Elephas maximus indicus: one gene and its partners. Each later gene encodes a partner of the first gene's protein in a complex. Links are inferred from orthologs where the notes say so. Each region holds a gene or a part of one and is shown in the gene's direction. Other genes may lie near its edges.

What was found. Proteins that work in one complex are often made in the same cells at the same time.
Region 2: the proteins of SFN (region 1) and TBC1D4 are in contact, whole or in part, in a crystal structure (PDB 7NIX), measured with the Homo sapiens proteins. The link is inferred for Elephas maximus indicus from reciprocal best matches to the Homo sapiens genes SFN and TBC1D4. Residues at the interface, in NP_006133.1 of Homo sapiens: Asn42, Ser45, Val46, Lys49, Arg56, Arg60, Phe119, Lys122, Arg129, Tyr130, Glu133, Gly171, Leu174, Asn175, Val178, Tyr181, Glu182, Leu218, Ile219, Leu222, Asp225, Asn226, Leu229, Trp230; in NP_055647.2 of Homo sapiens: Arg637, Arg638, Arg639, Ala640, His641, Thr642, Phe643, Ser644, His645, Pro647.
Region 3: the proteins of SFN (region 1) and YAP1 are in contact, whole or in part, in a crystal structure (PDB 6G6X), measured with the Homo sapiens proteins. The link is inferred for Elephas maximus indicus from reciprocal best matches to the Homo sapiens genes SFN and YAP1. Residues at the interface, in NP_006133.1 of Homo sapiens: Lys11, Glu14, Cys38, Glu39, Asn42, Leu43, Val46, Lys49, Arg56, Lys122, Arg129, Tyr130, Gly171, Leu174, Asn175, Val178, Glu182, Leu218, Leu222, Asp225, Asn226, Leu229, Trp230; in NP_001123617.1 of Homo sapiens: Ala125, His126, Ser127, Ser128, Ala130, Ser131, Leu132, Gln133.

What each region holds. Positions count from the first base shown.
Region 1 is NC_064821.1:67,303,251-67,310,462, forward strand, and holds SFN (14-3-3 protein sigma), read left to right. Parts: upstream 1-3,616; 5' UTR 3,617-3,746; coding exon 3,747-4,493; 3' UTR 4,494-5,149; downstream 5,150-7,212. UniProt on the Homo sapiens protein: Adapter protein implicated in the regulation of a large spectrum of both general and specialized signaling pathways. Binds to a large number of partners, usually by recognition of a phosphoserine or phosphothreonine motif.
Region 2 is NC_064832.1:68,292,179-68,299,628, reverse strand, and holds the start of TBC1D4 (TBC1 domain family member 4), read left to right. Parts: upstream 1-2,924; 5' UTR 2,925-3,640; coding exon 3,641-4,129; intron 4,130-4,144; exon of another isoform or gene 4,145-4,374; coding exon of another isoform or gene 4,375-4,455; exon of another isoform or gene 4,456-4,499; coding exon of another isoform or gene 4,500-4,517; exon of another isoform or gene 4,518-5,383; intron 5,384-6,759; exon of another isoform or gene 6,760-7,450.
Region 3 is NC_064825.1:18,547,905-18,555,354, reverse strand, and holds the start of YAP1 (transcriptional coactivator YAP1), read left to right. Parts: upstream 1-2,997; 5' UTR 2,998-3,090; coding exon 3,091-3,411; intron 3,412-7,450. UniProt on the Homo sapiens protein: Transcriptional regulator with dual roles as a coactivator and corepressor. Critical downstream regulatory target in the Hippo signaling pathway, crucial for organ size control and tumor suppression by restricting proliferation and promoting apoptosis.

The sequences.
Region 1 (7,212 bases):
AAAGCACCCAGTCCAGGATTTGAACCTGATCTCTGCCCAATCTCTGACCTGTCTGCACTACCTGAGGAATGAATGAGGCTTCTCCAGGAGGATGAGCATCTCAGGGGGAGAAACCCTAAAAGAGAAGTCAGAGCCGGCAAGGGGCTGAGAGGTAATACGGGCTGGCCTCTTCATTGTACTGACTGGATAGCTGAGGCCCAGAGGCAGGAAGGGACTTGCCCAAGGCCTGTAACAGAGCTGGGATGCAGTTCCACACCCTGACCACATTCCATTGTCTTTCCCCAAATTCCAGTCTTCTAGAGTGGATTGGTCTAGGAGATATGGGGTCCTTTAAACCATAGTGCCTTGAGGAGAAAGAGAACAGCTGAAGTCACTTAAAATTTATCCAGTGTTCCCACCCAAAGGCAACTAATGCCATAAGCTCTTGGCTGGATAACTCTGGCTCACAACTCACCAGGGGAAGAAGATGCCATAGCCCCCTCTGGTCACCTATTGAGTTTGATCATTCCATGACAAAAATGTCCTAGAAAATTCTTTCTGGAATCTGACCAGAATCCCTCTTGCTACAATGAGAGAGCCCTGTCCTCTGTTCTCAGTGAAGTTAAATAGCAACTGGTTGCTGGGTTTGTGTGTCACAACCCTTCAAAGTCTGTTATTACCAGCTAAGAAGAATTGGTTGTGGGCCCAGAGGCCTTGAGCCTGCCGGTGGGATGGACGCTATGCAGAGGGGTGGGGAGGTGGGCAGGATGAGGAAAGCCCCTTTGGGCTGCAGCCCCAGCTCCTATTCTGCTGACTCAGGTGGCTGACTGTGGAGCTCTGTGCCCTGCCAGGGCCTGCTGCCTCCTGCCCACCTGGGCTCCTAGACTTGGGAAATGGAGGCCCGGAGGCAAAGGGAGGTGCCTGAGACAGGAACTGAGTCAGGATCAACAGGCCAGAGCCGGCCAGAGGTATCAGGCAGCAAGGCTCCCAGATTCCTCTATGAGCTTCAGCAGATGGGGGCCAGGAGTGAAGGGGCTTCCCTTCCCCCTCTCAGGGCTGTGCTGAGGGCATGGAGCTTGTGGTGAACCACCACCAGGTCTCCTGGTTTAGGTGGTGAGGAGAGAATGCTCCCTCTCTGGATATAGAAACAGCTCCAAAGTTCCTAGACGTGCCAGGCTCTGCCTTCGAGCTTCCTAGTGTACCAAGATCTCCAGCTTTCCCCTAGGACTTGGGAAAGCCCAAGCTGGCTGATGAGTGCCAAGTAAGGTCCTTGAATGTCCTAGATGGTGAAGGAGAAGGCAGGGCTGAGCACATCTGACCACTTATCCATCTTGAGAGGGGAGCCTGTGGGCAAACCCTTTTTACCCCCATGGACACCCGGCTGGACAGGGTCTGGTCTTCAGCAGAGGCCTGGTTTGGGGCCCTTCCTCATTTCATAGAATCCTGCTCCATGTTAGTGCTTTGTGTGTATGTTTACAATAAAGCTGGCTGAGTTTTTTCACATAATAATAGTTACCATCCACTCTGCTAAGTGCTTCGATGAACTCATTTGAACCTCAGAAGTCCCATTTTACATGTATAGAAACTGAAGCTCACCTAGGTTAAGTAACTTGACCAAGGCCACACAGCTTATACGAATTGAGCCTAGGCAGTCCCATTCCAAAGATTCTAGACTCTCTCATTAAAAAAAAAAAAAAATGTTCATGATTGAAAATTTGGAGAGAATAGGAAAATCAAAAGGAAAAAGAATCACTCAGCATCACTACCTAAAGATGCCGTCTGTAAGCTGCTGTTTTGGTACATTTCCTTGCCATCGTCTTTTGTGTCAGTGCTTTGATTTAAGCAAAAGCCTTTGGGAGGTCAAACCTAAGTTCCCTGCCGCCTCCTTAGAAAATCTGTAGCATCAGCCTTGGCATGTCTCTACTCTCCCTCGTGGCAAAGAGGCAGAGCTCAACTTTGGGCCTCAGAGTTCTGGCCTAAGTTTCCCTCCAGGAGGGGAAGGTGGGTGTTCAGACACTAAGAGGAACCAGGGGAGGCCCAGGCCTATGAAATGGTCTGGCTTCAAGGATTAGGCTGGTAGAATCCCTGAAAGGGAAGCCCCACCCCAGACTCCCGTCTGAGCTTTGGCTAGGGGTAGGACAGATAAGCAGGAACCCACCCTCATAGGCTCAGCGCCAATACCCTTAGGTGAAACTCTTGGCTGACTCAAGGACAGGGGCCCACTGAGCAGGGATAGAAGGTTGGCAAGGGAGAAGTCTCCATCTCTGAGACCTCTGTCAGGGGTCAGAGGTGGGGCCCTGGGCAGTGGCACAGGGAAACTTCTGAGAGGCAGGTTTGGGGAGACAGCACTCAGCTGGGATTTCTGCCCCATAAACCAAAATGGTATATGTCACCACCACCTTCTCAGCCTATCTTTCTCCTCAGGTTGCCGGCATCCCCCCTGCGGGACCAAACAGGCCTGAGCACCCAGGTGGCCTGCTTCCCAACCTCTGACAGAAGGCAGGCTGAGTCAAGCAGGAAAGTGGGACAGCCAAGGAGCTGGGCCCCCACCCTCCATGAGCCCCACTGATACATGATGGCAGGCAGCTTCAGGAGGGGGGGGCATCTGGCCTGCCATCGAGAGCCAGAGGGTAAATCCTCAAACAAGTGGCAACAGGCCACTGACTTGAAAGAGAAAATTGTGCTGTGATGGGGAAGGTGTCTGACAAACCTACTGGGTGACTAATTACAAAGGCTGGGTTGGAGCGTCAGTGGCCGCTTCTTAAATACCTCATTAAGTGGCACCTTGAAAGCTGCCCACCCCTGCATTCTGGGAATTCAGAGGGGACAGGACCCTGAGGAGCAGGGATGGATTACCCAATAAGCAAAGTACACACAGGCTTACTTATGCTTACTTACTAATCTGTAGTGCACAATTTACATGGATTTCACCACATTAAAGAGCTGTGTGACCCTGAGCTAATCTCACCCTTCTCTTATACTCAGTTTTCCCATCTCTAAAGTGGGAATAATAATCACAGTGCTGCACATTTCACAGAAGGGTACCAAAAAAACAAACCAAACCCACTCCCCTCGACTCGATTCCGACTCATAGTGACCCTACAGGGTAGGGTAGGAGTGCCCTGTAGAGTTTCCAAGGAGCACCTGGTCGATTCAAACTGCTGACCTGTTCGTTAGCAGCCATAGCACTGAACCACTACGCCACCAGGGTTTCCCACAGAAGGGTAAAAAAGGGATTAAATTAGGTTGTGGCTGTGAAGATGCTTGGGAATCTCTACAGCCCTACCGAAGCATGAGTTACCTCACCTGAACCAAGGGGGAAACATGTCCAGCAGGATTAGGAGCCTCATTCTCTTGAACCTGGCTTATGGGTGCTTCGGTGGCTAGAAGGTCACTACGAAGGAGGATCCGATTTGAGAAACTGGGGAGCTACCTAACATGGGCATGTAATGGCAACCCTGAACAGAGGGGGCAGCCAGGAGCCCAGAAAGGTGCCTATGCAGGTGGGGCCCACGCCCACATTTCTGACGCTGACTGTCCTGATGACTCACCCCCTTTTACCTTTAAGGAAGAGCCGGAAAGGGTGTGGAGAGGAGAGGGAGGCAGGTCCAGGGCCCCAGTCCCACCCCCTACCCCTCCCCACCCTCCTCTGGGCCAGGCCACCCAGCCAAAAGGCAGGCACAGAGCAGGAGAGCCACAGAGCCCAGTCCGGCATTGGTCCTGAGGCAGCCAGTTAGCTCGCCACCTGTCCATCTGTCCCTAGAGCCATGGAGAGAGCCAGCCTGATCCAGAAGGCCAAGTTGGCAGAGCAGGCCGAGCGCTATGAGGACATGGCAGCCTTCATGAAGGGAGCCGTGGAGAAGGGTGAGGAACTATCCTGCGAAGAGCGCAACCTGCTCTCAGTGGCCTACAAGAACGTGGTGGGTGGCCAGAGGGCTGCCTGGAGGGTCCTGTCCAGCATCGAGCAAAAAAGCAACGAGGAGGGCTCAGAAGAAAAGGGCCCTGAGGTGCGAGAGTACCGGGACAAGGTGGAGACTGAGCTCCGGGGTGTATGCGACACTGTGCTGGGCCTGCTGGACTCCCACCTCATCAAGGAGGCTGGTGATGCTGAGGGCCGGGTCTTCTACCTGAAGATGAAAGGTGACTACTACCGCTACCTGGCCGAGGTGGCCACAGGTGACGACAAGAAGCGCATTATCAACGCAGCTCGGGCAGCCTACCAAGAGGCCATGGACATCAGCAAGAAGGAGATGCCACCCACCAACCCCATCCGCCTGGGCCTGGCACTGAACTTTTCTGTCTTCCACTATGAGATTGCCAACGTCCCTGAGGAGGCCATCTCGCTGGCCAAGACCACCTTTGATGAGGCCATGGCTGACCTGCACACTCTCAGCGAGGACTCCTACAAAGACAGCACCCTCATCATGCAGCTGCTGCGAGACAATCTGACGCTGTGGACGGCCGACAGTGCTGGGGAAGAGGGGGGCGAGGCTCCGGAGGAGCCCCAGAGCTGAGCCACGCCTGCGACCTGCCCTGCCCTGCCCGCTCCAGCCCCCACCCCCTGCAGAGAGGACTAGTGTGGGGTGGGAAGCCTGCTCCTTCTCCCTGAGTGCTTTGCCCCCAGCTCAGGAAGGCTCCGTGGAGAGGGACCGGCAGAGCTGAAGCCACCTGGAGCCAGAATATCCCACACTTCATGTGCTGTCAGGTGCTCTGACCGCTGGTCACCCCACCCGCTCCTGCTCTCTGCACCCCCTTTCTCCCGCCCTGCCCGGGAGCCGGGCCTCTTCGTCTCCCCTCCTGCCTCCCTTCTGCCCCAAGATCTTAGGAATTGAGGAGTGTCCCACCCTTGTGGCTGAGAGCTGGACTGTATGGTGGAGGCTGGGATGAGTGTGTGTCTGTGTGACTGAGTGTGTGAGAGTAAGACCAAGGATGGGAGAGAGGGAAAGCATGTCTGCTGGGTGTGACCATGTTTCCTCTCAATAAAGTTCCCCTGTGACATTCCTCCTGTCTTCCAGTTATTGGCCGTGGGCTGGGACTGGGATTGGTGTATAGTCTACGAGTCCCTGACTTTGGACCTTTGACTTAGAGTCCTGACCTCCCATGGGGCTGGCTCATGACCCACAGGTGGGACTTTGGGAGCAGTGACTCCAAAGGAGAGCCCGGGGTTCAGCTCTCTCCAACAGGGTGACCTTGGGCTGGTCCCCGCTGGGACAGGTGAACGCAAAGGCTGCGCGGCGACTCTGGCTGAGGAGAGGTGAGTGGGTGCTGCAGCGCACGAGGCCGGAGAGCTCAACCTGAGAGGGCGTGAGTCTCAGGGCAGCGACGCTGGGGGACGCTGCGGTGAGCGGCACTGAGGACCCCACGTCCGAAAGCGGAAAGGAGTCCCAACAAGGGCCCAGCTCTAAGCGGAGGGAGGACGACCTGAGGCAGGGCTACGAGGCCGCCATGAAAACCCCAGATCTGAGGAGAGGCGGACGCCCCCCCCAGCCCTCGGAGATGGGGACAAAATGACACGGGGCTGGCAGGAAAAACGCAGAGCTGCGGGGAACCGAGGCCGGTCCAAACCGACCGCGCCCGCCGTCGCCGCACCATGCAGCAGCAGCACGCCAGGGCCTGCGACCGCTTCGCGCACTCCCGCCCCTCAGCCGGCGGCTGGAGGCGGGGCCGCGGCCAAGCCTGCCCAGTCACAGGAGGAAGCTGACAAGGGTACCGCCCCTAGGGCCCAATTGGCCAGTGAGGAGTGGGTGGCGGAGCGCGGGCGGCACGACCTCGTGCTGCCCCCCGGGGCCCAGCGGAAGCTGCTACGCGCTGACTGAGAGGCGCTCCCCACCCGCCCAGCCCCGAGGGGCGGTGCTTTCTCGGTTTCACTTAAACGAGTTGTCACCTGCCCAGCCCGAGAACTGGGCTCTCAGAGCAGCGGGACGGGACGGGACGGGGAGGGGCGGGGTGGAAAGTGCAGTTCCAGCCCTTTGAGTCATCTGCACAGCCGGCGGTGCCTGGACCGGGGCTGGCGGGCAGGATCAGCTGAGTCCCCGGGTCCAGCCCTTCGGCTGGAAAAAGTCACCAAATCGCCCCCACCACACCCCAGAGTCCAGGCAGCCCTGAACTGGTCTCTAGGAGACTTGAATCGTGCCCCTGACTGGCTGTGCGAACTTGGATAAGCCACTGTACCTTCCTGAGCCTCAGTTTCCTCGTTTGTAACATAAGGGGCTTGCCCTAAAGGCTGTGTAACTCAATAAAAGTGAAAAATGTGGGTTCTGGAGTCAGACTGTCTGAGTTTGCATTCTGGCCTGCCTTGGGCAAGGCTTTTAACCTGGCTCACGTTTGTGCCCTCATCTGTAAAAAAGTGGGAGTTAAAAACGGTACCCTCCTCTTAGAATTGCTGTGCAGTTTCATAAAATAAGTGCACACAAAGTGCCATAGTACACGTTCAACAAATATTAGCTGGTATTAATCCAGCGTCAACGGTCTAGCATTTGTCGCACAATTCTGTGCCAAAAGCAAAATAATCAGGCCTTAGCCCTGAGGAGCAGCTTTACTGCCAAAGCTGACTTGCATGCTCGCTGGACCACTGAGAACGCTGGTTGGCCTGACATCAACGGGTGGCTCCTCCAACTGGCAAGATTGCTGGAACTCAGTCAGCCTCATCAAGTTCCTTCCCCAGAGTTGAAGTTTGGCCACATCACGGAACTCAAGTGAAGGACTCTCATCAGAGCTAATTCTACAGGGGAAGCTGGCAGGCCCACTTTGGTGCCTTCTGGGTCCCCGGTTTTCTCCTTTTTTTCCTGAAGATGTGCTGGGTTTGTTTCAAGGTTCCAAACCAGGCAGAAACTCTTATGGCAAGTGACTCCCCCAAAGCTTTGGAGGTGACCCGGTTTCTCTCACCAGACAGGTCTGGTGACTTTCTCTTAACGGGGCTGGTCCTGAGAAAGGAACTTCTTTCTTCCATTTCAGTCTCTAGCATCTGCCTTTTGGACTTTAGAGAACTCTGACATGGTTGGCCTATAATGGGGAAATAAATGAGCTACCTTAAGGCAGCATGTTGGTACTGAAAGATTTCAAAGGCAGTGGTGTGGACTGGCACATCACCAGATCAGATGGTTGTTAGGGTGGGCTAGATGCAAGCTGGTTTAGGTACCAACTTTGACCATAAGTGTCCCAGACCTTTTGTCCATGATGCATTAGAAAAAAATCTTCTCTCTCTAGAGCTAGAATCTTTTTTACTTTTACCCA
Region 2 (7,450 bases), on another chromosome or scaffold:
TGCCGATTTTCCCACCAAGATCCGGTCTTTGGAACATAACCATGTCAATAAGCGAGGAGTGGGTGTATAGTAAGATAAATATCATAATAACATTTCAAAGAAAGGGCTAAAGAGCTCCCAGAGCAGGAAGCAATCACACTTAGGGTGTCACACAATAAAAGATAACTCTCCTGTTTTTCTGCCAATGGGTGATAGTTTGCCCTTTACTGTTGACTCTTACACAAGTAGAAATTGGTCTTCTGGGGCTCCATATCCACTCCTGGCTCCCAAGCTGGTTGATTTGGTAGAACGCATAAGGCTTCCGCACTTTTCCCATATCTTCATTTGCTCTTTTCTTTCTCTTTTGTGGGTCTCTAATTTGTGACCTGTTGTTGTTGTTGTTAGGTGCCGTCAAGTTGGTTCTGACTCATAGCGACCCTATGCACAACAGAACGAAACACTGCCCGGTCCTGCACCATCCTTACAATCGTTGTTATGCTTGAGTTCACTGTGTCAATCCACCTCGTTGAGGGTCTTCCTCTTTTCTACTGACCCTGTACTCTGCCAAGCATGATGTCCTTCTCCAGGGACTGATCCCTCCTGAACAACATGCCCAAAGTATGTAAGACGCAGTCTTGCCATCCTTGTGTCTAAGGATTTGTGACCTAGGAAAATGGAATCTGTGCAGGAGAGTTTCTGATAAATTTCGGTCTATGTTTCAAGAAGTTTCCATTGCTTCTTTAAGACATAGGTTATTTTACACAAAATTTCGGTGGAATGGTTAACCAAATGACTTAATCTAAGCAATTAATAATATCTCTTTTTTGGAGCTTAGATAATTATGACAGGCATCAGGTGCACCCAGAAATTCAGCATAGGAATAAATGGCAGTTGACCATATTGATGTTACATAGACAGGAGAAAATAGTTCAAGGGTTTTATAGAAAATGAGAACACCACTAAAGTAATAACATTTGAGAAACTTGGGTTTTCATTCTTCCTCTAAGCACACTGGTGAAAGTCGGAAACCTTCAGTGCCTTTCCCATTTGTTTTGTGTTTACTTCTGATCCAATTCTTAATTATAATTCAGTGAGAGTAAAAAGAAGGAGTGACTGCGATGGGTTAAACTGTGTCCCCTCAAAAGATATGTTTAAGTCCTAACCCTTGGTATCTGTGAATGTGCCCTTATTTGGAAGTGGGGTCCTTGAGGATGTAATAAAGTTAAGACAAGATCATATTGGATTAGGGTGGGCCCTAAATCCAATGACTGGTGTCCTTATAAGAAGGACATGTGAAAAGATACAGAGACACACAGAGAGGCAGAGAATGGAGTGATGTAGCTGCAAGCCAAGAACACCGATTGCCAACAATCCCCAGAAGCTGAGAGAGCATGAACAGATTTTCCTTCAGAGCCTCCAGAAGGAACCCACCTTGCTGATACTTGATTTCAGACTTCTGGTCTCCAGAACTGTGAGAGAATAAATTTTAGTTGCTTTTAGCCACCCAGTTACTGCAGCTCTACAAAACTAATAAGGAACTCTGGTGGTGCAGTGGTTACGCTCTCTGCTGCCAACTTAAAGGTGGGCAGATTGAACCCACTAGCAATTCTGCAGGAGAAAAGACCTGGTGATCTGCTACCGTACAGATTAAAAAAAACAAAAAACAAAAAACCGAACCCATTGCCGTGGAGTCGACTCTGATTCATAGCCACCCTATAGAACAGAGTAGAACGGCCCCATAGGGTTTCCAAGCAGTGCCTGGTGGATTCAAATCGCCAACCTTTTGTTAGCAGCCGTAGCACTTAACCGCTATGCCACCAGGGTTTCCCCCCTTATAGATAACAGCCTAGGAAACCCTATGAGGCAGTTCCACTCAGTCCTATAGGGTCGTCATGAGTTGGAATCTACTGGACAGCACACAACAGCAGGAAACTAATACAATGACTGAGAGTCAGATTTGCTAAAAATGGGAAAAAAAAATCTTTTTCTTATTTAAAAATTAGAATGATTAAATGATCCCTGAGATGTTTTTGAGTTTCTTGGAAACATGCATTGCTACATAAAAATGTGAGAAATCTCTACACGATCTCTGAAACGTTGTCACCAATCTCTAGAAAATTATGGTATGTATTTTGGGTATTGAAACTGCTCCTAACTTCATCTTTCCTATCCTCCCCTCATCCCATTACTTCTCTTATTTTATATCTTCTTATATTGTTTGTATATCTGTAAACAGCTTCGAATACTTCTCGGAAACAGCAAAACCAAGAAAACAGAACAAAACCCACCGCCTTCGAGTTGATTCCGACTCATAGTGACCCTATAGGACAGAGTAGAACTGCCCCACATGGTTTCCAATGAGCGCCTGGTGGATTACAAACTGCCAACCTTTTGGTTAGCAGCTGCTGCCCTTAACTACTATGCCACCAGGGTTTCCAGCAAAGGTATATATAATAAGTGTAATTTCTCCATATTTTCAGAAGTTGGCTGCGTTAAGAACGGGAAAAACTGTTTGCCATATAATATTTTAAAGTGAAAATCAGAATTAAAATATTTTATCCTAATATATGGTTTAAAACACGAGTATTATTTGAGACTATTAAGAAGGAGAATTCAGAAATCAATACGCATTTGAGATTCAGAAGGAACTGAAGCTAAGCAAATACTACTAAAAAAAATTCCAACGCCTCATAGGGGGCAGTAGAGACTCCTGGAGAGGACGCAGAGCTCAGCCAGTCGGGAGAGGCCGAGTTGGTCTGGGCAGTAGCCGCGCCAGGCCCGGAGAAGCTGTTCCAAGGGTGGAGTGGAGGGGCGGGCTGGGCGGGGGTCCGAGGAAGAGGCGGAGAGGTGATTTCACAGTTATGCTTTTGGAGGCGTTCCTCACCGCCAGCCGGACGGGAGGCGGGGTAGGAGCCTGATTAAAGAAGCGGCCGGGAAGGAAGGAAGGAGCGAGGGAGGGACGGGAACAGTAGGAGGAGCAGCGAGTTGGGCTGCGGCGGCAGGAGCGGCCCCGCGAGGCCACGTTATGTTTTTCTCATTTTCCACTGGGATAGTTCTCGCAAATCCTTTCCGAGGACTGAGCGCGCCGCAGCTCGGCAGCCCCGACCTGCCAGGTGACAGCCGGTCACCCTGGTAGGAGTCAGCTCCTCCCCAAATCCCCCCTCGGGCCCACAGCCCATTCCCCGCCCACAGCCCATTCCCCGCCCAGCCTCCCAGTGGTTGCCCGAGGCCGGAGCGGCGGCCGCAGCCGATCTGCAGCGCTGGAGGAGGCGGCGACCGGCCGCGGCGGGAGGTGGTGGCGTAGGGCCCTCGGCGTTGTTCTCAGATCGGACAGACCCGTGGCGAAGAAAGAAGTCCGGTCCTGAGGCATGTGCTAGAGAAAGAAGGATGCCGATTTAATCCGTCCTCTTTTTTTTTCTCCTTGGAGCCCGGCTGCCGGGCGCTCGCCTCCGTGCTCGCCGCCGGAGCCTCGGACCTGCGTCCGTGGAAGTGCCGCCTGGGGCAGGGGCGCCGAGGCTTGGAGTTCGGTGTCTCACCGCACCGAGGCGGGCGCGGGAGCCCAGTGTGGGAGTTGGCACAGTTTCGGCAGCGCCTTCAGCGCCGGACTTGGGGGCGCGGCGCGCCTGCTGGACCGCCTCGGTGCCCTCCTTAGGCGAGAACTATGGAAACCCCCAGCTGCATTCAGGATGAGCCCTTTCCGCACCCCCTGGAGCCCGAGCCCGGCGCCTCTTCGCAGTCAGCCCCGGGAAAGCCTGGCGAGAAGCGGTTCCGACTGTGGTACGTGGGGGGGTCGTGCCTGGACCGCAGGACCACGCTGCCCATGTTGCCCTGGCTCATGGCCGAGATTCGCCGGCGCAGCCAGAAGCCGGAGGCGGGCGGCTGCGGGGCGCAGCCGGCCCGCGAGGTGCTCCTGGTGCTGAGCTCGCCCCTCCTGCGCTGCGTCCCCGCGCCGGGCGCAGGGGGCCCCGGCCCCACAGCCGCGCAGCCCAACCCGGCGGTGTTCATCTTCGAGCACAAGGCGCAGCATATCTCGCGCTTCATTCACAACAGCCACGACCTCACCTACTTCGCCTACCTGATTAAGGCGCAGCCCGACGACCCCGAGTCGCAGATGGCCTGCCACGTATTCCGCGCCACAGACCCCAATCAGGCAAGAGCTCCGCTCGGAGACGCCGGGGAATGCACGGGGAGGGGTGGCGCACTGGGGTTGGGTAGCAGGGCCGAAGGGGCTGGGCCCCACTTTTCTGGCGCACTGTGGTCGGTGTACTGGCGCGCGCCCTCCACGTGGCGCGGCTGGAGGGCTCGCCCTGCGCTCCCCGCCTCGGTCCCGGAGTCGGGGAAAAGATGTTCCGGGGCTGAGTGGCGGCCAGAGTGGACTGGTCCGAAGGACCAGGGATGAGGGAGAGCAGGGAGACAGAGAACGGTCTCGGAACCAAGGAGGAGCGAACGGGCGCGCGCGAGAAGGACGCAGGAGGGGTGCGCGTCCAGAGAGGATGGCGCTGTTTGGAGGGTGATCGGAGATGGAGACTCCCGGACTTGTGTGTAGTGTGTGTGTGTGTGTGTGTGTGCGTGTTTACGAACACGGGAGAGGGTTGAGTTCCTAGAGGCCCTGCGCTCGGTCTGATTCGAGTCCTCCTTCTTAACCCACTTGGCACCTGCGGGTCTCCGATCCTGGAGACTCTTTTCGAGAGGGGTTTAGGGAATAGTTTACTAGGCGTTGTCAGATTGTCAGCAAAGTACGACGCTGTCTGTAGAGTTGAAGGAAGACTTTTTTTTTTTGCGGGGGGGGGAGCAGTTTTTTATACACTCGGGTGGAGACATACTAGGTCCTTTAAAATTCATCCTAGTGGAAGAGCTTTGTATGAAAAGGTCAGAATTTGTTTTTTAATGGTATTTTTTTTTTTCAGACGAGCTGTTGTCACCCAACAGTCGACTTCATTTGCTTAGAAACAAGCATGATTCTTTTCTAAACGCTAGAGGAATCTGAACAAAACCTTACCGCGATGATTGTTTCTTAGAAAACAAGCCTTTTCTTAAATGTGTAAAGAGAGTTTTAATATATCAAAAACTCTAAAGTGCTGTTTTTAAGAGGATTAATTATTTAATGTTTGCAAAGTATTTTGAAAGAATAGTGTTGTAAATATAAATAAATAAGGTCTCGGGTTTCACCATGTGGTGGTGCTTTTGGTAGCTGGGAGATTAGTAGTAACAACAATAGGAAACCCTGGTGGCTTAGTGGTTAAGTGCTAGGCTGCTAACTAAAGGATCGGCAGTTCGAATCCTCCAGGCGCTCCTTGGAAACTCTATGGGACAGTTCTGCTCTGTCCTACAGGGTCTCTGTGAGTGACTCGACGGCACTAGGTTTTTGGTTTTAAAAACAATAGTCAGATGGAAAAAACAACCTGTAAGTACGGCTTTAATTTTTTCTTTTTTCATAATTCTAATACCTCTAATTGAAAGACTTTCTGGTTCTGTGGTTTTTTCACAAACGGCTTGTAGGTGAACTGATGAAAATAAAAGTTCATTGTCTTAGATATTATCAGTTATTTTGTAAAATAGTTTCATATCTTAATACTCAGTTGTCATTATGAAGAAAGCAACTTTAAATTGTGACCACAGATCCTAACAACGATTAAAGTGAATTTGATATTTATTTGTTCAAGCCCCCTTTTTTTTTAAGCTTTTACATGTGTTGAAATTGAGGTACAGCATATTCTTGATTTATTTGTGAAAATTACTAAATCTTCATGGTATTACAGCTTCCTGCTTCTCTCAGTAAGGAGGAATAAATGGCATTTTTCCAGAACTTTAAGAAACCTGTCATTATTTTTGATGGTGCTAATTTCGTGATGGTGTAAAGTTCATCTGTGAGTTGTGGCACTTTGAATTCTCAACAGTGGCTCTTGACTCCTACTTTGACACATTGGTGGGAGGCCAATTTAAAAGATCCTTTTTATTTACCTCCGTTATGTGTTTAGGTGCCAGAGGCTGAATGTGCTATTCCTTTACAAATAGTAGCACGTTTGGGCTCATTTTCCCCTTCCAGCAGGAGCAACGGAAGCCATATCGTTTTCTGATAAAGGAAGGGAAAAACTAACTTTCCTGCTTATCTTCATTTCCCAGTTGAATATCTGAATATATGGATTCTTATTTGCTCAGATCCTATAGAATCCCTGGCAGAGGATCATTAATTCAAGGGTCAGATGTGGTCCCCCCAGGGATTATTACCTCCAGCCATAAATCAGGTGTTACCAACTCAAATGTCTGGGAAGAGTGTTGAGTGAGGATGGAGGAGGACTGAATAGCGGGTGACCTTTTTCAAGGTGCCCTTCAGCACTGGCTGGAAATTGCTTTACTTAATGCAACACAAGGCTACTGTTGCCAGAGCTTCTACTTTCCTGAGAGAAGCTGGAAATCTGAATTTTTATGTGAGTGTTCACATGTTAAAATATTAGTGAGTATTTTAAACATTTAAGAATCCTATATGGGCCAGGGAGTCCCTGGGTGGTGCAAGTTAATGTTCTTGTCGGTTAACCAAAAGGCTGGAGGTTCAAGTCCCCCCACAGGTGCCTTAGAAGAATGGCCTGGTGACTCACTTCAGAAAAAGCAGCCAGTGAAAACCATATGGAGCACAGTTCTACTCTGACACACAGGGGGTTGCTATGAGTTGGAACCGACTTCATGGCAACTGGTTTTAAAGGGCCAAACTAAACACATCTAAGGATTGTATTCATTGATGGGGGGGAGGGGGAGGGTTTTTTTTTTTCAGTCTCTAGCATAAATATTTGTTGAATAAATGAGTGCAATTTGAAAACAGTCTTCAGGCTTTTGCTACATTTCCTTTTGAACTCCAGAGTTCAATCTATATGGCTGTCATAGTGGGAAGAGTTGTTGGTTGTTGTTAGGTGCCGTCGAGTCGGTTCCAACTCATAGCGACCCTGTGCACAACAGAACGAAACATTGCCCGTCCTGTGCCATCCTTACAGTTGTTGTTATGCTTGAGCTCGTTGTTGCAGCCACTGTGTCAATCCACCTTGTTGAGGGTCTTCCTCTTTTCCGCTGACCCTGTACTCTGCCAAGCATGATGTCCTTCTCCAGGGACTCATCCCTCCAGACAACATGTCCAAAGTACGTAAGACGCAGTCTCGCCATCCTTGCCTCTGAGGAGCATTCTGGCCACACTTCTTCCAAGACAGATTTATTTGTTCTTTTGGCAGTCCAATATTCTTTGCCAACACCAGTGGGAAGAGTTAGGACTGAAGTTTTTGAAGAATTTACAAATAAAACTTCCCAAAGTAGTGATTTTGCAGCTGGACTTGTTAAGGGTTGAATTCACTGTAGTCCTGCCATCCAGGAACATACCTCATACAGAATAGGTTCTGTAAAGTTCTGGGCACCCTTGAATTCAGAGGGAAGAAGACCAGCTGTTTGCTTTGCTTCTGAGATCTGCATTTGAAGTGGAGAGTTGTTT
Region 3 (7,450 bases), on another chromosome or scaffold:
CATAAGGAATAGTAAATTACCTTGGTAGATTATACAGAGGCACTTTGCAGAACCCTAAAAATCACTCCAAACAACCTTCCAATCCACTTATCAAAGTAATTTTGTTCTGTCTAATGGTAGGTAAAACAATATTGAACAAAGCAACCTCTGCTGTACCCTGAGCCCTTTAATTATAGTGTTCATAGTAATAACTGCTCTAGTTAAGGGACAGCTTCCACTACAATCCCAAATTTTCTATCACTTTGGCTCTTTGGAAGTTTTCAGTATAATGCATAGTTTCTATCCAAAGGCTTTGTTTGTGTGGATTGATTATTGGATGTGAGACAAAGGGATTGCCAACAAGGTCCCTGAGGCTCTAGAAAGGGGAGCTGTTGCAAAGGGGAGGCCATGTCGCTACCTATGGCATAGTGTGGGAACAATGATAGCTGACATACAGAACTCACCACACGCCAAACACTGGGGCTGAATACTTTATATCCATGAACTCATTTAATACTTCAACAACCTAAAGTGGAGTGGAGATGAGGGTCCATTGTAGTTGAGAGGTCAAATAGATGCAAAACTAGTGTTTTGAGAGAGTCATCTATATGGGCAATGAAAATGATGCAAGATAATGGTGAGTCTTTTTAAATGTGAGACCATTTTAAAGATGAGGGAGTAAGTAACTTGTCCAATGCCTCACAGCTAGAAAATGGTGGAACTGGGACAACTGAAATCTCTGTAACTCCAGAACCTACAAGTTTGTAGTTAAATGCACTTGAAGTTTAACATTTTCGGGGGGCGAGATTGGAGAAGTAAATCCAAGATGGGATGGTGGGCATCATTTAATCTGATTCCATTCTTCAGAGGAAGTAGTCAGAGTGGGGGTTAGAATCTTGAGTGTCTGATGCCACAGCCCCTGGCCCTGCCATACACCAAGCGAGAGATCCCTATTCAAAATTCCCATGGGCAAGTCCTGGCTGGAGGGAGAGATTATTTTTTTTGCAAAGGGGCCCTTTTCTTGCTTAATCCTATTTACATTTTTTTTTCACTAGCATTGTCGACAAAATCATTGAAACAAGAAGCCAGATTTCTTTAGAATGGGCTAGTGGTTTAAGGAGCCCTGGTGGCGCAGCGGTTAAAGCACTCGGCTCCTAACCAAAAGATCCAAACCCACCAGCCGCTCCCGCGGGGCGAACGATGTGGCTCTTTCCATCAAGATTACAACCTTGGAATCCCTATGGGGCAGTTCTGCTCTGTGCTATACCGTCACTGAGTGGAAATCGACTCCATGGCAGTGAGTAAAAAAATCAAGCCAAAGGCGTTGGTAGCGACCTTATAGGACAGAGTAGAACTGCCCCATAGGGTTTCCAAGGAGCAGCTGACGCAATGGACCTGCCAGCCTTTTTGGTTAGCACCAGAGCTGCGCAGTGGCGGGTAGTGGTTTAAAATCTGAGCAATGTTGCACAACTCTGTGAATTTACTAAAAAGCATTGTATTGCTTAAATGGATGAATTGTGTATGTGTCAGACATACAATTGCATATATCTCAAAACTTTTTTAAAAAATCATAATGATATTTTGAATTAAAAAAAAAATTTTGATTGCATTTGAGTGATTTCAAGTGGACTCCAAGCATACGTGACACGGCTATATCTAGGATCAGGTGCCTGGAATGATTTCCTCGCCCATTCATTTCTTACTCATGCAACATTCACGGAGTCCACGGTTGTGTCAGGCACGGGGATAACGATGGGATAGGTTCACAGCTCCTCTAGGATGAAAGGCAGCTACACTGAAAATTGTTTGTAACCGAAAGTAAACACTGATTTTTCACGTAGAGGTTTCCAGTGGGTATGTTGCAAGTCTGAATGCCACAAAAGTTGATGTTTTCACTTAAAAAAAAAAAAAACTTACGCACCTTAATTCACTGGAAAGAGGTAATTTTTTTTTTGAAGTTACACTGAGTCACAGAACTAGCCACAAACTATCTAGATGCTGTGATCATTTATCCTTTTTTTGCATGCAAAGAGGTGAGTGAAAAACTACAAAATCCAGTTACTGTTAAACAGACATTTGTTAAGATCGGTGCCTGTTACTGGTACCTATTCTAACTCCAACCTATTTTTGCGCCTTTAACCCCGTATTGACACTACTGCTGGTTTAAGTCGAGCTAACGCGGGGAGGGTTTAAGTGGAGTTTCACCCTCTCCAGGCTTCTTTCGGCCTTAGCCATTTCGCATCTCCTGGCGAGCTGGACCGAGCCTTTTTCCGAGGATCGGCGGGGAGGGACCGGGCGGGGCGGAAGAACTTCCTGCGGCCAAGGGCGGCCGCGTTCTCTGCACAGACGAGAGCTCAGACCCAGTTTGGACCCAACGTTTCCCATCCGCCCGGCCGTCAGTCCTCGCGGCGCGGAGGTCCAAGCACCCCCTCAGCCTCTGCCCTTGAAGCACAGGCGAAGGACTGGGTTGAGGGCGAGTTGGTCACGTGCGGCTGGGAGAGGCATTGGAAGCTGGGAGTTTGCAGGAATGTAGTAACTTGCAGGGAAAAGTTTCCCTCGGCGGCCGGCCGCGGATTCGGTGCGGGCGGGCGCGCAGAGGAAGGAAGAGCTGGGAGGAGGCGGAGCCGGCGAGCGGCTCGGGCGGGCAGTTCTCTCAACTTCAGTTTTGGCGTCTGAGGCGAGTTTCTGTCTCAGTCGGGCACAGCCGCCGCCGGGGAAAAGAAAGGGAGGAAGGAAGGAACAAGAAAAGGAAATAAAAGAGAAAGGGGGAGGGGAAAGGCGACTAGTTGTCCGGCTTCAGTCAAGGGAGTTGAAGGGGAAAAAAGTTCTCAGGCGCCGCAGGTCCGGGTCTCTCTCAGCCCCTCCCGAGGCGCAGCCGCCAGACCAGTGGAGCCCGGGCGCAGGGCGGGGGCGGAGGCGCCGGGGCGGGGGATGCGGGGCCGCGGCGCAGCCCCTCGGCCCTAAGAGCGAGGAGCGCGCCGCTCCCGACGCCCAGCGCCGCCCGGCCCGCCGCCCTCGCCGCTTCTCTAGTCTCGGCCCGTCGAGCCGGGCCGCCCGGGCGGAGCCCTCGCCCGCCTGGTCAGGGGGTGCGCGTCGGGAGAGGCAGAAGCCATGGATGCCGGGCAGCAGCCGCCGCCTCAGCCTGCCCCCCAGGGCCAAGGGCAGACGCCCGCGCAGCCCCCCCAGGGGCAGGACCCGCCGTCCGGGCCCGGGCAGCCGGCGCCCCGGGGATCCCAGGCGGCGCCGCAGGCCCCCCCCGCCGGGCACCAGATCGTGCACGTCCGGGGGGACTCGGAGACCGACCTGGAGGCGCTCTTCAACGCCGTCATGAACCCCAAGACGGCCAACGTGCCCCCGACCGTGCCCATGAGGCTCCGGAAGCTGCCGGACTCCTTCTTTAAGCCGCCGGAGCCCAAATCCCACAACCGACAGGTAACCTACCCCTTCCCTGTCGGGCGGGCCCCAGGTCGGGGTGGGGATTCCGGGAACCCTGGCGAGGGGTAGGGCTATCCCGGTGAGTTGGAGGAACTGGAGGCCCCCGCTCGGCCGCGGTTTTCGGCTCCCCACTCTTCCTGGAGTCCGGGGCCGAGATTTGTTTTTCCCTTTGGAGTTTCTGCGGTTGCAGCCCCAGGGGGTGCGCTCTGCCCTTCTTCCTTTCTTTCTTTCTTCCCGGGGTTCCCAGGAGGTTGGCGGGAGTGAAGGGGGAGGTGGGGAGGAAGGAAGGGGGTGGGGAGAGCCCGCCCGGGCCGCGGTGGGCTTGCACAATGCGCGCGTCTCCGCGCGCTCCGCACCTTCGCTCCAGCCGCGGCCCGGGGAGGGGGAGGGGGGCCTCTGGCATCCGAGTGGGTGAGTTGCCAGCGGCGGCCGAGTTTGTGAAGTTGAGCCCTGGGCCCCTTTTCCTTCGGGGCCTCTCGGTCCTCTTCAGTCTCCTGGGGAGTCAAATAATTGTTCTCTTGTTTTCCAGTGTTGATTAGGGGGTGGGGGTGGAACTAGTGCTGTTCGTTTTCTTGCTCTTTCTCCCCCTCCCCCGACCGAAAGCATTTATTTTCCTCGCTGCCCCGGCCCATTCGGAATACAGGATCCGGGCTTCCCCTGCCCAGACTTTCCTGGAAGTTGTTTATGGAGTTCGTTCTTTCACTCCTGCACTTCCCTTGCGCTTGGAACTCAGGCAGGCTCACTCTTATCAAACTCGGTAGATTCATGTGTTGGTTTCCCAATTTTAGGCTATTATTTACAGTCTGCTGAAATGCTTTTAAATTAGCCACATCTGCACGTTGCGCAGGACCTGAGTTGAGCTTTACAGTACCGAGGTTTTAACACACAGCCTTTGATAATACCCTGCAGGTTGACTCATAGGCCAAGTCCTGCCTGGTTCAACTCTGATTAAAAGTTAATGTTTGGGAAGCGATGACTAATTCTAGGATCGCCATTGCTTTTTAATTCTTATTGAGGATATGAACATGGCTGCTTTTCCGCAAACACAACGTTCGACTATTTTGTCAACTTGTTTTAATATTGAAGTGGAACTATTTATTAGGAAAGTTTTAACATTCCAGTAGGTCCCGGTAGGTATATATATATATTTTTTTTTACTGAAGGCTTTTGTAGGTGTCGCCCCCCCCCCTTTTTTTTTTTTTGAAGAAGTTGCTATGGCTAAACTTCAGCATAGGAACTTTGGCCAAAAGCTAATTGGTTTTCCAAATACTGCATCGTAGTTTGTCCACTCGGGCTGTAACTTGAGTGGAAAGAAGAGGTTCCCCCCCCCCACCCACTCCCATTCCTCCTCATATTTGCAGGCCTGTAGTATATTCTTGTGGGCAAACCGAAGGAATTTTGGAACTCAGAAAAGCTTACTGTCAAAAACCCGGGTTAAGGACGTGATAGAAAAAAACAGTTTAGCTGCTTGCCTAAACAATTTGTAAGAGGTAGACTTAGGTATGCTTTTTTCTTTAACCCTGCAGGTGAGCTTCTGGGCTCGTTATGGATAAAGTGTGTAGGCATGCACCCTACAGAGTACAAACTACGGTGCTATTTACTTACTATAAGTATAATGCACACAGGAGATTGAATTCCCCATTTTGTGGCATCTATAAACCAAAAAGAATTGCAACTGAAAAGTGAACTTATTCTTCTAATAAGTAATTACACAAGAATTTATATCCAGCAGTTGGTGGGCAGTCTCCCTTCCTTGCCCATATGAATGTAGGAAATTCTAACCTTCTGATAATCAAACTCTAATTCTAATCAATGGATTAAAAAAAAAACACTATATTTTGAATAGTATGAATTTGTGTTGTAAATACTACTGTTCATAAACTGTTAGATGTAAATTCTTAGGTTTATATCATATAACCAAACCAAACCCACTGCTGTGGAGTCAATTCTGACTCATAGCGAACCTGTAGAGGAGAACTGCCCCATAGGGTTTCCAGGGCTGTAATCCATCAAGATTAATCCACAAAGACTACAGCCTTGAAAACCCTGTGGGGCAGTTCTCCGTCCTATAGGGTTGATATGAGTCAGAATTGACTTGATGGCAGTGGGTTCGGTTTGGATATATGACATAAACCTAAGAATTTACATTCAAGAGTTTATGAACAATAGTATTTACAACACAAATTCATACTGTTCAAAATTGAGTATAATTTTTTTTTAACCCATTGGTTAGGGTTTTATCAAAAAGTTAGAATTTTCTATTTTCATATGGGCAAGAACGGGAGGCTGTCCTATCCACAAACTGCTGGATATAAATTCTTGTGTAATTACTTACTAGAAGAATAAGTACACTTTCCAGTTGTAATTCTTTTTGGTTTATGTGGAGTTGAAGACCTGGTGGCACAGTAGTGAAGACCTGGGCTGCTATAACCAAAAGCTTGGCAGTTGGAATCTATTAGTCACTCCTTGGAAACCTTATGGGGGCGGTTCTACTCTATCCTGTAGGGTCCCTATGAGTTGGAATTGACTCACTGGCAATGGGTTTGGTTTTTTGCTTTGGCTAAGCTTTTTTCTGGGTTTAATCTTTATGGAAGGAGAGACTACCACACCTTTCTCCTGCAGGGCAGGCTGGTAGGTTCGAACCACTGACCTTTTGGTTCACAGCTGAGCACTTAACCACTGCACCACCAAACCAAAAAACCAACCCAAACCCTTTGCTGTCAAGTCGATTCCGACTCATAGTGACTCTATAGGACGGAGTAGAATTGCCCCATAGCGTTTCCAAGGAGAGGCTGGTGGATTCGAACTGCTGACTTTTTGGTTAGCAGCCAAATGCTTAACCATTGTGATACCAGGGCTCCTCCTGTACCACCAGGGCTCCTTTATATCATTTATTACCCCCATTTTTTCATCCTGAAAACAAAAACTGTTTTACAGATGAGGAAACTGAGGCTTACAGAGATTAAGATGTTTGTTCGGTGTGTAATACTAGCCAAAAAGTTAAAGGAGCTTAGACTGGACCCAGATCTTTAGGGTCTGAGTGGAGAATTTTTTTTTTTTTTCTGTTACACAGTTGTAAATATATGAGGGTTTGAGTTTTACATTAGTAATCGAACTGTTAATGTTTTTATCATCTAGGTACAAATATATTGTTGGTTTTTCATTTCATCCATTGAAATGGCTTTACTTAAGAACTTTTGGATGGTTCTGAATATTCTGCATTCATTAGAAGTTGTATAACTTGTGATGATTGGTTGACAACATCTGTCCATTAAAAAAACCAAACCAAACCCATTGTTATCGCGTCGATTATGTCTCATAGCGACCCTGTAGTACAGAGTAGAAACTGCCCCATAGAGTTTCCATGGAGCGCCTGGTGGAGTTGAACTGCTGACTTTTTGGCTAGCACCTGTAGCACTTAACCACTATGCCACCAAGGTTTCCAACATTTGTCCATAGTGAGGGGAAAAAAATGACAAACATCATGTGTTTAGACCTTGGCCTGGAAAAAAAATTAATTAAAGCTCAGTTTAGGAGAAAAAAAAAAAAGAGACATAGTCATTATACTTCTTGGGTTATGTTTATACCTGGGACATTTTAGAACTCGTGAAAGCCCCCAAACTGCCTTGACCTTTTAGAAATTATGTAAAATTCAGTATTTATTAGGCATGTTTCATTCATTCTTTACTACCAAAAACCAAACCTGTTGCCATCAAGTTGATTCCTACTCACAGAAACTCTAAAGGACAGAGCAGAACTGCCCCGATAGGGTTTCCAGGGAGCACTTAGTGGATTCGAACTGCTGACCTTTTGGTTAGGAGCCGTAGCTCTTAACCACCATGCCACTAGAGTTTGCATTCTTTACCAGTGGCCTTTAAAAGATGTACACGTGTGCCTAATGGGTAAAAAAACAAATCACTTAGATGGACTGTTTATTAAAATTACAACTGTTTGTGAAAATATATATTAGAACAAAATCACATAAACCATTTAAAAGTATGCATTTGCCAAACGGTTTTCCTCAGGGTCAAGTATT